3 linked regions of the Canis lupus familiaris genome follow. The protein of the gene in region 2 interacts with the protein of the main gene of each other region in a biochemical or structural test. Links are inferred from orthologs where the notes say so. Each region holds a gene or a part of one and is shown on either strand. Other genes may lie near its edges.

Evidence for each region.
Region 1: the proteins of PRMT5 (region 2) and SNRPD1 form a complex in vitro, tested with the Homo sapiens proteins (2 studies listed by BioGRID, with this or other methods). The link is inferred for Canis lupus familiaris from reciprocal best matches to the Homo sapiens genes PRMT5 and SNRPD1.
Region 3: the proteins of PRMT5 (region 2) and COPRS form a complex in vitro, tested with the Homo sapiens proteins (3 studies listed by BioGRID, with this or other methods). The link is inferred for Canis lupus familiaris from reciprocal best matches to the Homo sapiens genes PRMT5 and COPRS.

The regions. Positions count from the first base shown.
Region 1 is NC_049228.1:66,472,980-66,476,726, forward strand, and holds the start of SNRPD1 (small nuclear ribonucleoprotein Sm D1), read right to left. Parts: upstream 2,848-3,747; 5' UTR 2,731-2,847; coding exon 2,717-2,730; intron 1-2,716. UniProt on the Homo sapiens protein: Plays a role in pre-mRNA splicing as a core component of the spliceosomal U1, U2, U4 and U5 small nuclear ribonucleoproteins (snRNPs), the building blocks of the spliceosome.
Region 2 is NC_049229.1:3,373,950-3,377,473, reverse strand, and holds part of PRMT5 (protein arginine N-methyltransferase 5), read left to right. Parts: intron 1-501; coding exon 502-665; intron 666-1,538; coding exon 1,539-1,700; intron 1,701-1,870; coding exon 1,871-1,948; intron 1,949-2,040; coding exon 2,041-2,099; intron 2,100-2,178; coding exon 2,179-2,301; intron 2,302-2,389; coding exon 2,390-2,565; intron 2,566-3,272; coding exon 3,273-3,382; intron 3,383-3,524. UniProt on the Homo sapiens protein: Arginine methyltransferase that can both catalyze the formation of omega-N monomethylarginine (MMA) and symmetrical dimethylarginine (sDMA), with a preference for the formation of MMA.
Region 3 is NC_049230.1:41,069,338-41,073,084, reverse strand, and holds the start of COPRS (coordinator of PRMT5 and differentiation stimulator), read right to left. Parts: upstream 2,250-3,747; 5' UTR 2,147-2,249; coding exon 2,072-2,146; intron 21-2,071; coding exon 1-20. UniProt on the Homo sapiens protein: Histone-binding protein required for histone H4 methyltransferase activity of PRMT5.

The DNA of each region.
Region 1 (3,747 bases), on a different chromosome or scaffold from region 2:
AATGCATACTGCATGATTCTACATTATATGAAATTCTACTGCAAGCAAAACTAAACTACGATAGAAGAAATTGATTGCACTGGGGGTATGAGAACAGAGACTGACTAGGAAGGGCTTGAGGTTTCGGTAATGTTCCATATTCCACATCTCAACAGGGGTTTGGGTTATACAGATGTGTAAATTTTTCAAAACTGGCAAATGTACATTGTATTTCATTGCATGAGATAGTCACCTCAAGAAGTAAAATTAAAAACCTTGGGTGGAAATAAAAGAAAGCTTTTATGACTCAGTGGTGCCACTGGAATGAATGACAGCAAAGGTATCTTGGCAGAAAAGAGTTATCCCAGCTCAGAAATCAAACAGATTTGAATTCTTTCCGATGAATCCTTCCCTTTGAATTCGTTCTTACTGAAACTTAAATATCCAGATAATATCCTTCATAGCACCCAAAAACATACCGCTTGCATAGTATCCTTCAGGATCCAAATCCACACTAACTGAATTCAAAAACCAAAGAAAACTGGATAATGTTGGGGATCCCTGGGTGGCTCCGCGGTTTAGTGCCTGCCTTCAGCCTGGGGCGTGATCCTGGAGAACAGGGATCGAGTCTGGCATCAGGCTCTCTGCATGAAGCCTGTTTCTCTGCCTCTCTCTCTGTCTCTCAAGAATAAATAAACAAAAAAAATTTTTTTAAAGAAAATTGGATAATGAGAGATACTTCTATGAGGTAGGTAAAAACTGTGAAAACCTGGCAATTTTATGAGATTATTAAGAAAGATGTCAAAGTAAACTCCCAGGTTTTTGGTTAGAGTGGCAGTAAGGATGATAGTGCCATCAACCACTGTACAGAAATAAGTCAACCAAAAATGCAAAGCAGTTAGACAAATACTCATTTTCTTGGAACAAAACATATTCACCAGTAAGAAGAAATTTTATTTCTACAGTCTAAACAAAGAATAGGGTTCAGTACAGCCTTTAAAATTTTCAGGAAAATTGTGTCACAACATGCAGTTTCTTTAAATGAGATAAACGGATTCTAAAGAGTGTGACACAAAACTATAAGTAGATTCAAATAGGTAGGGATTGAGAAATTGTGAAAATATACTTTAAATTCTGGGGTGTTTTTCTCCAAAGTTACAGTTCGACTAAAAATTAACCTTAAATGCCTTCCTTAAGAACTCCGAATACATATTGAGGGTTTTATACGTTATTTCATTCACACTAGAAATTGTCTATTTGTCTGTCTTCGCAAAATAGTTCAAAGAACACCTTAAAAAAACAAAATCCACTGCCTGTGCCTAGTGTAATAGGTGCCCAATAATTGATTGATCGCAATAAGACTAATCTTGATTCAGACAAAAGACTAGCTACATTTATAACTAATTTAATCAGAAATCTCCTCTATGTTCCAGGCTCCCTGCCTCAAGGAAAAACACCAAAACCTTATCTGCAGATAGTTTAGAATGAATTACTCAAATCATAAACCAATAGGCTCAACTAACCAATGAAGTTTAAACACAAGAGAATAGTGATCATCTGCTAATCAGCCACAAATACGTAAAGTGACTCTGCCAGACGTTGGGAGATTCTTCCTGAATTAAAGTCCTATTTTGTTTTCTTTTTTTTTATTTTAAAGATTTTATTTATTTATTTATTTATTTATTTATTTATTTATTCATTCATTCATTCATTCATGAGAGACACAGGGAGAGAGAAAGGCATAGACACAGGCAGAGGGAGAAGCAGGCTCCATGCTGGGAGCCCGACGTAGGACTCGATCCTGGGTCTCCAGGATCATTCCCTGGGCCGAAAGTGGCGCTAAACCGCTGAGCCACCCAGGGATCCCTAAAGTCCTATTTTGAAGGGAAATGGGAGTTGGGTAATCTTAACTGTAAGGAGTCGAAAAGAAAAGAAAAGAAAAGAAATGGGAAAAGGGAAAGGGAAAAGGAAAAGGAAAGACCAAAAAACCAGAAGTCCAATCCTGATTTAAAACATTTCGGAAATGGGTTTCGTCATTTCCTGATGAACCCCTGCAGCTTCTAAGTACATTCTAAAAGCTGCTTAACGGGACGTCTGGGTGGCTCAGCGGCTGGGCAGCTGCCTTTGGCTCAGGTCGTGATCCCGGGACCCAGGATCGAGTCCCACGTCGGGCTCCCTGCATGGAGCCTGCCTCTCCCTCTGCCTCTCTGTGTGTGTCTCTAATGAATAAATAAATAAATCTTTAAAAAAAAAATAAATAAATAAAAGCTCGTTAACTTAATGCAACGCGTACAATTTTCCTTAGGTCTCCCACGTTCTCCGGGAGCGTATATTTAGTCGTCTTTGCGGGTCCTGAGGGCTGAGACCGGCCAGAAAAATCATCTAGACTAGAGTACGAGTTCTAAGGGAACGAACGTCTTCTACCAACCGCAAACAGAAGCCTGTAAGCCTGGCGCCGCCGCCTTGCAGGCCTCTAAGACACTAGGGGGGAAGAAATGGCCAGGCCTTCACGTCCACTAGCCTGAAGACACGCGGGGGCCGCGCGCCAACGAGTCTGAAGCCCCGGCGGCAGCGCCCGCGACGGCGCGGCCAAGCTGGGGCGGGAGCGGCGGGCGCCGGAGGCCGTTAGCAGGCCGCGCGCGCACGCGGCTTTCCCGCCTCCCGCAAAGGGGCAGCGCGGCCTCCCGCTCGCCGCCCAAATCGTCACAGCCCCCACCCCGCCGGGCTACCCCCTCACCTCACGAGCTTCATCCTGGCGGCGCCGTCGCTCTTTCAGCCCGTTAATGTACAGAACCGGACTACCAAGGCCCGAAAAACTAGGAGTATGAATGGCCGGAAACGCCTACTCCTCGGGCTCGGACGTAAAGGGCGCGAGGAACGCTGAGAACGCGAGGCGGAAGCGCCGAGGCCCCCGGAGCCGCACTCCCTTCCGGCCGCGCCCAACCTCACGGCGGCCCCTGGCGGCTGGAGGTGTGCCTTGCGCCTGCTGAGCGCTTTGAGAGCCGGTCCAGGAGGAAAATTCCAGTAAGGGCGGGGATTTGGGGAGCTCAGATCCAATTAGTAGGCCGGGCCGCGGGCCGCGGGCTCAGAGTCCTGTGTTACGGGGCAGTAAATACACTCGCGAAGGAAATGTAGTTCTGACAAAGCCCAAAAAATTATGCGAATTCAGCTCCAACACCGGGAATGTACCTGAAGAAAATCACACAGTTTAGCTTATTATTTTTACTTTAAATTCTAGTCACAGGGGCACCTGGGTGGCTCAGTGGTTGAGTGTCTGCCTTTGGCTCAGGTCGTGATCCCAGGGTCCTGGGATGGAGTCTTGCATGAGGCTCCCCTGCATGGAGCCTGCTTCTCCCTCTGCCTGTGTCCCTGCCTCTCTCTGTGTATCTCTCATGAATAAATAAATGAAATCTTTTTTTTTTTAATTTTTATTTATTTATGATAGTCACACAGAGATAGAGACAGAGGTAGAGACACAGGCAGAGGGAGAAGCAGGCTCCATGCACCGGGAGCCCGACGTGGGATTCGATCCCGGGTCTCCAGGATCGCGCCCTGGGCCAAAGGCAGGCGCCAAACCGCTGCGCCACCCAGGGATCCCTAAAATCTTTTTCTTTAAAGATTTTATTTATTTATGAAACAGAGAGAGAGAGGGGGGCAGAGACACAGGCAGAGGGAGAAGCAGGCTCCATGCAGGGAGCCCGACGTGGGACTCAATCCCGGGTCTCCAGGATCACACCCTGGGCCGAAGGCAGGCGCTAAACCGCTGAG
Region 2 (3,524 bases):
CACCATGGAGATGGCATCCTTCAAGAGTTCCCTTTTTAGCTTGTGAATCTTCAGATTGATAATTCTGTCATTCTCATTTGGTTTCCTGGAAGTCAGGATTGGCTTGTGAAAAGTTGTTAGCAATAGCATGCTAAAGGTGAACTATCAAGTCTCATTCGAAACTTTGCCTATTCAGAGCATCACACTGTGTTTTATAGTAGCTCTCTGATTTTAGTAGTCCATTGAAGAAGGGAGTTTGAAAGTTGTTGTATACTGTTTAGGATTATCTGCCCACATCCTGCCTGAAACACTATGATTGCTTTTGAAAAGTATCTTTAATAAAGCTGGATATAGTTAAAAAAGAAAAGAATCAGGAGTTTCATGTATACTTGGCTGCTGGGCAGTTTTCTCTCTGCCTCATTCTGTCTTGCTCTTAGGGAGTAAACAGATCTTGCACAAAAACAGCAAGGAAAGCCTTTTTGCCTAGCAGTAGGTAACTGGTCTTTCTTTTTCCTTGTGTAGCTCTTGAAATTGGGGCTGACCTCCCATCTAATCATGTCATTGATCGTTGGCTTGGGGAGCCCATCAAAGCAGCCATTCTCCCCACCAGCATTTTCCTGACCAATAAGAAGGGATTTCCTGTTCTTTCTAAGATGCACCAGAGGCTGATCTTCCGGCTTCTCAAGGTGGGTGGTAGAAGGGTTCAAAAGGTATTCCAGCTAATCCTCTTGCCTTACTCACATATGTATGATGCTTTTTTTCCTGTGGGCCTGATTCTTTTCCTCTCTGGTTTCTGGAGAGCAATTTTAGCAAAGTTGGAGGTCTTGAGAACAAAAGAGGCAAATGGCAGTAGGTGTCCCAGAAACATTTTAGAAGGAACCAGATCTCATGAGAAGTTTGCAGGTTTCATTTAAGATGTTAAAGTGGGAATCCCTGGGTAGCTTAGCGGTTGAGTGCCTGCCTTCCGCCCAGGGCGTGATCCTGGGGTCCGGGGATCAAGTCCCGCATCGGGCTCCTTGCATGGAGCCTGCTTCTCCCTCTGCCTGTGTCTCTGCCTCTCTCTCTTTGTGTGTTTCATGAATAAATAAATAAAATCTTAAAAAAAAAAAAAAAAAAAGATGTTAAAGTGATGGGATGCCTGAGTGGCTCAGTGATTGAGTGTCTGCCTTCAGCTCAGGATGTGATCCCAGGTCCAGGGATCGAGTCCCACACCAGGCTCCCTGTGAGGAGCCTGCTTCTCCATCTGCCTATGTCTCTGCCTCTCTCACTCTCTCTGTGTCTCTCGTGAATAAATAAATTAAATCTTAAAAAAAAAAAAAAGATGTTATAGTGAGGATCCATGGGCCTGTTTGAGCCAGGATGAAGCTTATACCACATAGGAGGGCTTTATGAGTTTATTGAAGCGTCATGCTATTTTGTTGGTACCTGGAGGGATTTTTGAACTGGAAGACTGCTAGGCCAGGCCTTATTTTATGCTAGGGCTCTTTGGCCATAAACCATAACAATATTCCAGAATCTTGGTTCGAGAACTGCGTCTGATGGTCTGACCTCTCTCACAGTTGGAAGTGCAGTTCATCATCACAGGCACCAACCACCACTCAGAGAAGGAGTTCTGCTCTTATCTCCAGTACCTGGAATACCTGAGCCAGAACCGCCCTCCACCCAATGCCTATGAACTCTTTGCCAAGGGCTATGAAGACTATCTGCAGTCTCCACTCCAGGTCGGTCTACAGTGCAGCGAGAGGGAGCTGTAGGGGAAATGGCTTTGGAAGTAGGTGCCCTACCATCCTATCAAAGCTCAGGAGGCAGTGGGAAAGTTTTTGGTATGCTGGTGCTTTGCCCCTGCCAGAAACTGGCTGGCTAACTTTGCCTTTTTCCTCTTCTTCATCAGCCACTGATGGACAATCTGGAATCTCAGACTTATGAAGTGTTTGAAAAGGACCCTATCAAATATTCTCAATATCAGCAGGTATAATGTGGGTCTAGGTCAAGTACAGGGCCAGGAAGACCTTGGTGAAGGTGGGATTGGAGCCACAAGGTCTTTTCTCCTTCCCTCCCCAGGCCATCTATAAATGTCTGTTAGATCGAGTGCCAGATGAGGAGAAGGATACCAATATCCAGTGAGTGCTCTTCCCAGAGATATGCATGATGACTTCTTTATCTGCCAAGTCAGCTTGACCCTTCCCCTTTCTCTCTTAGGGTGCTAATGGTGCTGGGAGCAGGCCGGGGTCCCCTGGTGAACGCTTCCCTGCGGGCAGCCAAGCAGGCTGACCGGCGGATAAAGCTGTATGCTGTGGAGAAGAATCCAAATGCTGTGGTGACGTGAGTAGCAACCTCCTTGTTGGGAAGTTTATCTACAGTGCCAGTTTTTTTTTTATTAGTGTCCTCACTTGCATCATCTTTATTTTAGGCTAGAGAACTGGCAATTTGAAGAATGGGGAAGCCAGGTGACAGTAGTCTCATCGGACATGCGGGAATGGGTGGCTCCAGAGAAGGCAGACATCATCGTCAGTGAGCTTCTAGGCTCCTTCGCTGACAATGAACTGTCACCTGAGTGCCTGGATGGAGCCCAACACTTCCTAAAAGGTGCCTCCAGGCTGGGATGTACCAGCTTAAGGGGAATGGATTATCAGCTAGGAAGGCTGTGGTGGGTGGGGGTGCGGGTATAGCAGCCTTGGAGGAGGTTGCAAAGTTTAGGGGAAGGTGGGTGGGACTTGGGTCAGTGCCTTTAGCAAATGCAATCATCTTTCTGAACCTCAGCATTCTGTAAAATTTTATATCTGTAAAAATGAGAGGAGTGGACTAGATTAGAGATTCTTAGTCTGAGATCTGTGGACTCCCTATACTGACATGATACATACCTTGGGCTTAGCTTTCATCCAGATCTCTAAGAGTTCTAAGACCCCACAGAAGAACCATTAGTTCAGAATATCTTAGGGTTTTTTCCAGTTTTAATCTTGTGTGTCTCTGTAGGTTAACCTAGAAGTAGAATCTCCCATGACAGGGGTTGGAAGGAGGTTGGCCTGGGAATGTGACAACATTGAGCCACCTGGGTCTGTTTTGGGGGTTGTTTTGTTTTGTTTTGTTTTCAATTTTTATTTTAAGTAGGCTTCATGCCCAACATGGGGCTTGAACGTACGACCCTGAGATCAAGAGTTGTACATTTCACCAGCTTAGTAACTTAGCTAGCCAGGTGCCCCTGCCTGGGTCTATTTGATGTGGGAGCTTTAAACCTTCAGTTAGACATACCATTTTCATCCCTTCGGAACTTATATGATCCTCCTGCTCTGCAGATGATGGTGTGAGCATCCCTGGGGAGTACACCTCCTTTCTGGCTCCCATCTCCTCCTCCAAGTTATACAATGAGGTCAGAGCCTGTCGAGAAAAGGACCGAGACCCTGAGGTAAAAAGCCACTGTCTTCTGCAGAGCTCTTTTCTTTTTAGTCCTCTTTTTTTTTCTTTTTTTTTTTTCCTATATTAGCATCAACTGTTTGCTTCCACTGGAGAAAATGAAGAGGTGAAGGAAGAGATGGGGATGTGGGAAA
Region 3 (3,747 bases), on a different chromosome or scaffold from region 2:
TCAGCAGGGGCAAAGCTGGCCTGCAGGAAGAAGAAACAGTTACCCAGGACTTGGATGTGTGGGGTACCCCCAGTATTAAGCTACCGTTTCATGGCCTCAAACCCCACTCTTCCATCCTCACCTTTCTGAGGGTGGGGCTGGGACTCTGCAATCCCTATTTCTGTTTTGCCGTATTAGATGCATCAAGGCTGGAGGTAGAAGGGCCTCTCTCCTTCCTATTCCTGCAGATACCACCCCAGCGACACTTCATCCCTGGCAGCATCAGCAGTACCTTCCTATAGCAGCTGCTCGATCCAGTTTAGTTTGCCAACATTGGCAGAGCCAACTTCATCACTGGGCCCTCTCTTCAGGGGTCTCCATCCTAGGCCCTCAGGACCCCTCCTCCAAGCTCTGAGACCCCAGCAGTAGCTGCAGGCAGCACCTCTTCCTGAGAAGTTGGGATTCCAGCTCTGTGAATCTCTTCTCCTCTGAGCCTGTAAATTTTAATCATTTCAACCTCATTCCCTCTAACTTCCTACCAAATTCTGTCTCCTGATACATAGGGGCAACATGTAGCTGTACTTCCTAAGTAATGCTCAAGGGAAATCTTCTTCTACAGCCAACCATATGCTTCTCTGCTCTCATCACTTAAAGACCATTTTGTAAAAGGAACAAGAAATGTTCACAGCCTGCCTAAGAAGACCTGGTTTCAATTCAGGCTCTGCCATTCATTCAGAGTGTGACCTTGGATAGCTTGCTTCAACCACCATGCCTGGGCTTCCTTCTCTGGACACTGGAGAGGACTATTCTGACCTTGCAAGGAGCTTACAATGGAGAGAACACTTCTGAAAACACCACGGACATAACAGGAATGTAACATTAGTTGAACTGAAACCCCCTTTCTTTGCCCTCACACCTAAACTGCACTTGGCACCGGCCTCAGTTGGCTCATGACCTAGTCATCCTTAGATTTAATGAATAAATTCCACCTTGGGAATGGTTGAATGACAACCCTCCGGACTACTGCAGGTCAGCTGATAGGCTCCCTCACGTGCACCACTGCCATAGCCACTTGTCCTCCCATTCACCCACCCTGCCCAACCTTAACAGGATTAATCATCACTCTGCTCAAAAATTTTCAACAGCCCTCCACAGAGGAGCATAACATTGGCCATGGCATTCACACTTCCCCATCACCACCTATCAACCTGTGGAGCATCGTTCTCTCCCCTGGCTCTGAGGCTCTATGACCCCAGCTCCCAGCCATCTGCCCTGTACCTCCTCACCTCCAGGCCTCTGCAGGCACCACCACCCTGTCCCCTTGGAGAGAAGCGTACATCCCTTCCTGTACGTCCTGAAGTCTCATCCCATCTGCATTCCAAAGTAATTTTATACCTATCACTACATTTTTCATATCTTACTCCGGTTTAGTACCCTCTTTGATGCTTAAACCAGCATTCCATTCCTCCCTCAGATTTAGGAGCTGTGTCTCTCGGTACTACGCCAGGCGCCGGGTTTACAGCACTCAACAGAGGGTTCCTCCCCTCGCGGAGCTCACCATCCAGAACTTACTGACCGTAAACAAGGACAGACAGGTGAGGACGGTAAAAACGGTCTTTGAAAAACCAGAAGCTGTCTGGCGCGCAAATGAAAACAAGTTTTTGGAAACCCTGCGTCAAGCTGGGCCTTTGGTTTCAGTAAACAGAAAAGGAGAGCGCAGGAGACCTCATGCGGTGCCCAGGGCGCGCTGTGCGTAGCCACCCGTGGTCACAGGTCCCTCACCTGGCCGCGGCCCAGCCCCCCCACCCCCCGCCCCGCCCCGCCCCGCCCAGGGCCCCCGGCCCGGGCGGTCAGCATCACCTCCCATCCAGCAAGCGCGCAGAGGCGCCGCGGCACCGCCAGCCCGCCGCGCTCGCCCACCCACGCTCTCGGGCCCGCGGCCCGGCAGTTTCCAGCGCGAGCGCGCGCCCAAACGGCGCTCCCCTGGCCCCGCGGCCCCCGCCCGCCCCGCCCCGCCCGGCACGGCCCGCCCGGCCTGGCCCGCGAGCCCCGCAACTTCCCGCCCCGGGCCGCAGGTGGCGGCCGCGCTCACCCCCGGGCTGGGGGGCGCCCCCCGAGGCGGCTCGGCGGCCCCCAGCGCCCGGGCTCCGGCGGCCTGACGGTCCATGCCTGGCGGCCCGCGGCTCGGCGCCCTGGACGCTGCTCGGCCACGTGACGCGCCCGCCTGGCTGCCAGCCGGAGCATACGCCGCGGAGGGGCCAATCAGCCGGGGGTGCTCCCGGCCGAGGGGGGCGGGGCACGGGTCACGAGGAAGCCGGGGGCGGGGCGGGAGGGGCGGGGCCGGCGGCAGCCCAAGCCCCTCACCTACGGGTCCCGGGATCGGATTTTTGTCGGTCCTGCCGGTGCATATCCCAGGGCTGGCGACTAGCTGGGTCTGCAGCGCCAGCTGTTATCTCTGTCTGCCGCACCAGGCTGGATGTGCTTCAGCCCTCAAACCTCGGATTCCTGTTAGAATATTCAGTTACCGGAGCCTACCTGACAGTCTCCGAAGCTCAGCTCTCAAAAGTTAAATTGAGCTCCAACCACATTGCACTCTTTTCGTCACAGGTGCTTGTAGAACTCAGGCTAGAATTGGGCCACCCACAAATGGATGTGCCCAGTGATCCTCCATCCTAAGTTAATGATAGTTCTTAAAGTTAATGCATCAGAAACCAGGACAGATGATGAAAACAATGTGCAGACACCATATGAGTCACACTGACCCTAAACATTGAGCTGCCACGGTAGCCTGGCCTGGGCTCCTGTTTTTTGATGCTTGTCAACAACTGGCCCTCTGCAGCCCCAGGGGAACAGCAGGCGGCCAGGGCAGGAGCTGGAGATAAACTCAACTCTAAAGTCAGCTTTCCCTGCCTTTCCCATACTGCCTAAACTGTTAATAACAAACCTACTTAGGGTGTAATAATCATTTTAACAATGAAGTAGAAGAAAAGCTAGAAGCTGGGATTCCTGCTCACTAGGCCACCTTATGACAATCTTTGGGGATATTAGACAGCTTACTTCATCTCCCTTGAAGAATGTGTTTATAAATCATAAAAGAGGGCACCTAGGTGGCTCAGTTCGTTAAACATCTGCCTTCAGTTCAGGTCATGATCCCAGGGTCCTGGGATTGAGTCTGGCATTGGGGTCCCTGCTCAGCAGGAAGTCTGCTTCTCCCACTCCCTCTGCCCATTCTCTCTCTCATAAAACCTTCAAAAAATAAAAAACCATAAAAGATATTTTTAAAAAATTAGTATAATGGGAGTGTGGAAGGGATGGGCAAAACAGGTGAAGGGGAGTGAGAGACACAATCTTCTAATCATGGAATAATAAGTCATGAGGTAAAAGGTACAGTGAAGGGGAGTGAGAGACACAATCTTCTAATCATGGAATAAGTCATGGGGTAAAAGGTACAGTATAGGGAATATAACCAATGCTACTGTAGTGGACTTATATGGTGACAGATGGGAGCTACACTTGTAAGCACAGCCTAACATATGGAGTTGTTGAATCTGCTATGTTGTACACCTGAAACTAATGTTCACATTGTGTCAACTACAGTCAAATTTAAAATTTTAAATAAAAAATTTTACTACTCTAAAAAAATTTAGTATAACATTTGATACACACTATCTTTTCTTTCCTCTATGTAGACTTTTCCTGCAGAGAAAAGAATGTGACCAATTAAGGTGTGCTCTGTTCTGACCCATGAGTCAAGTTTTCCCAAATCTA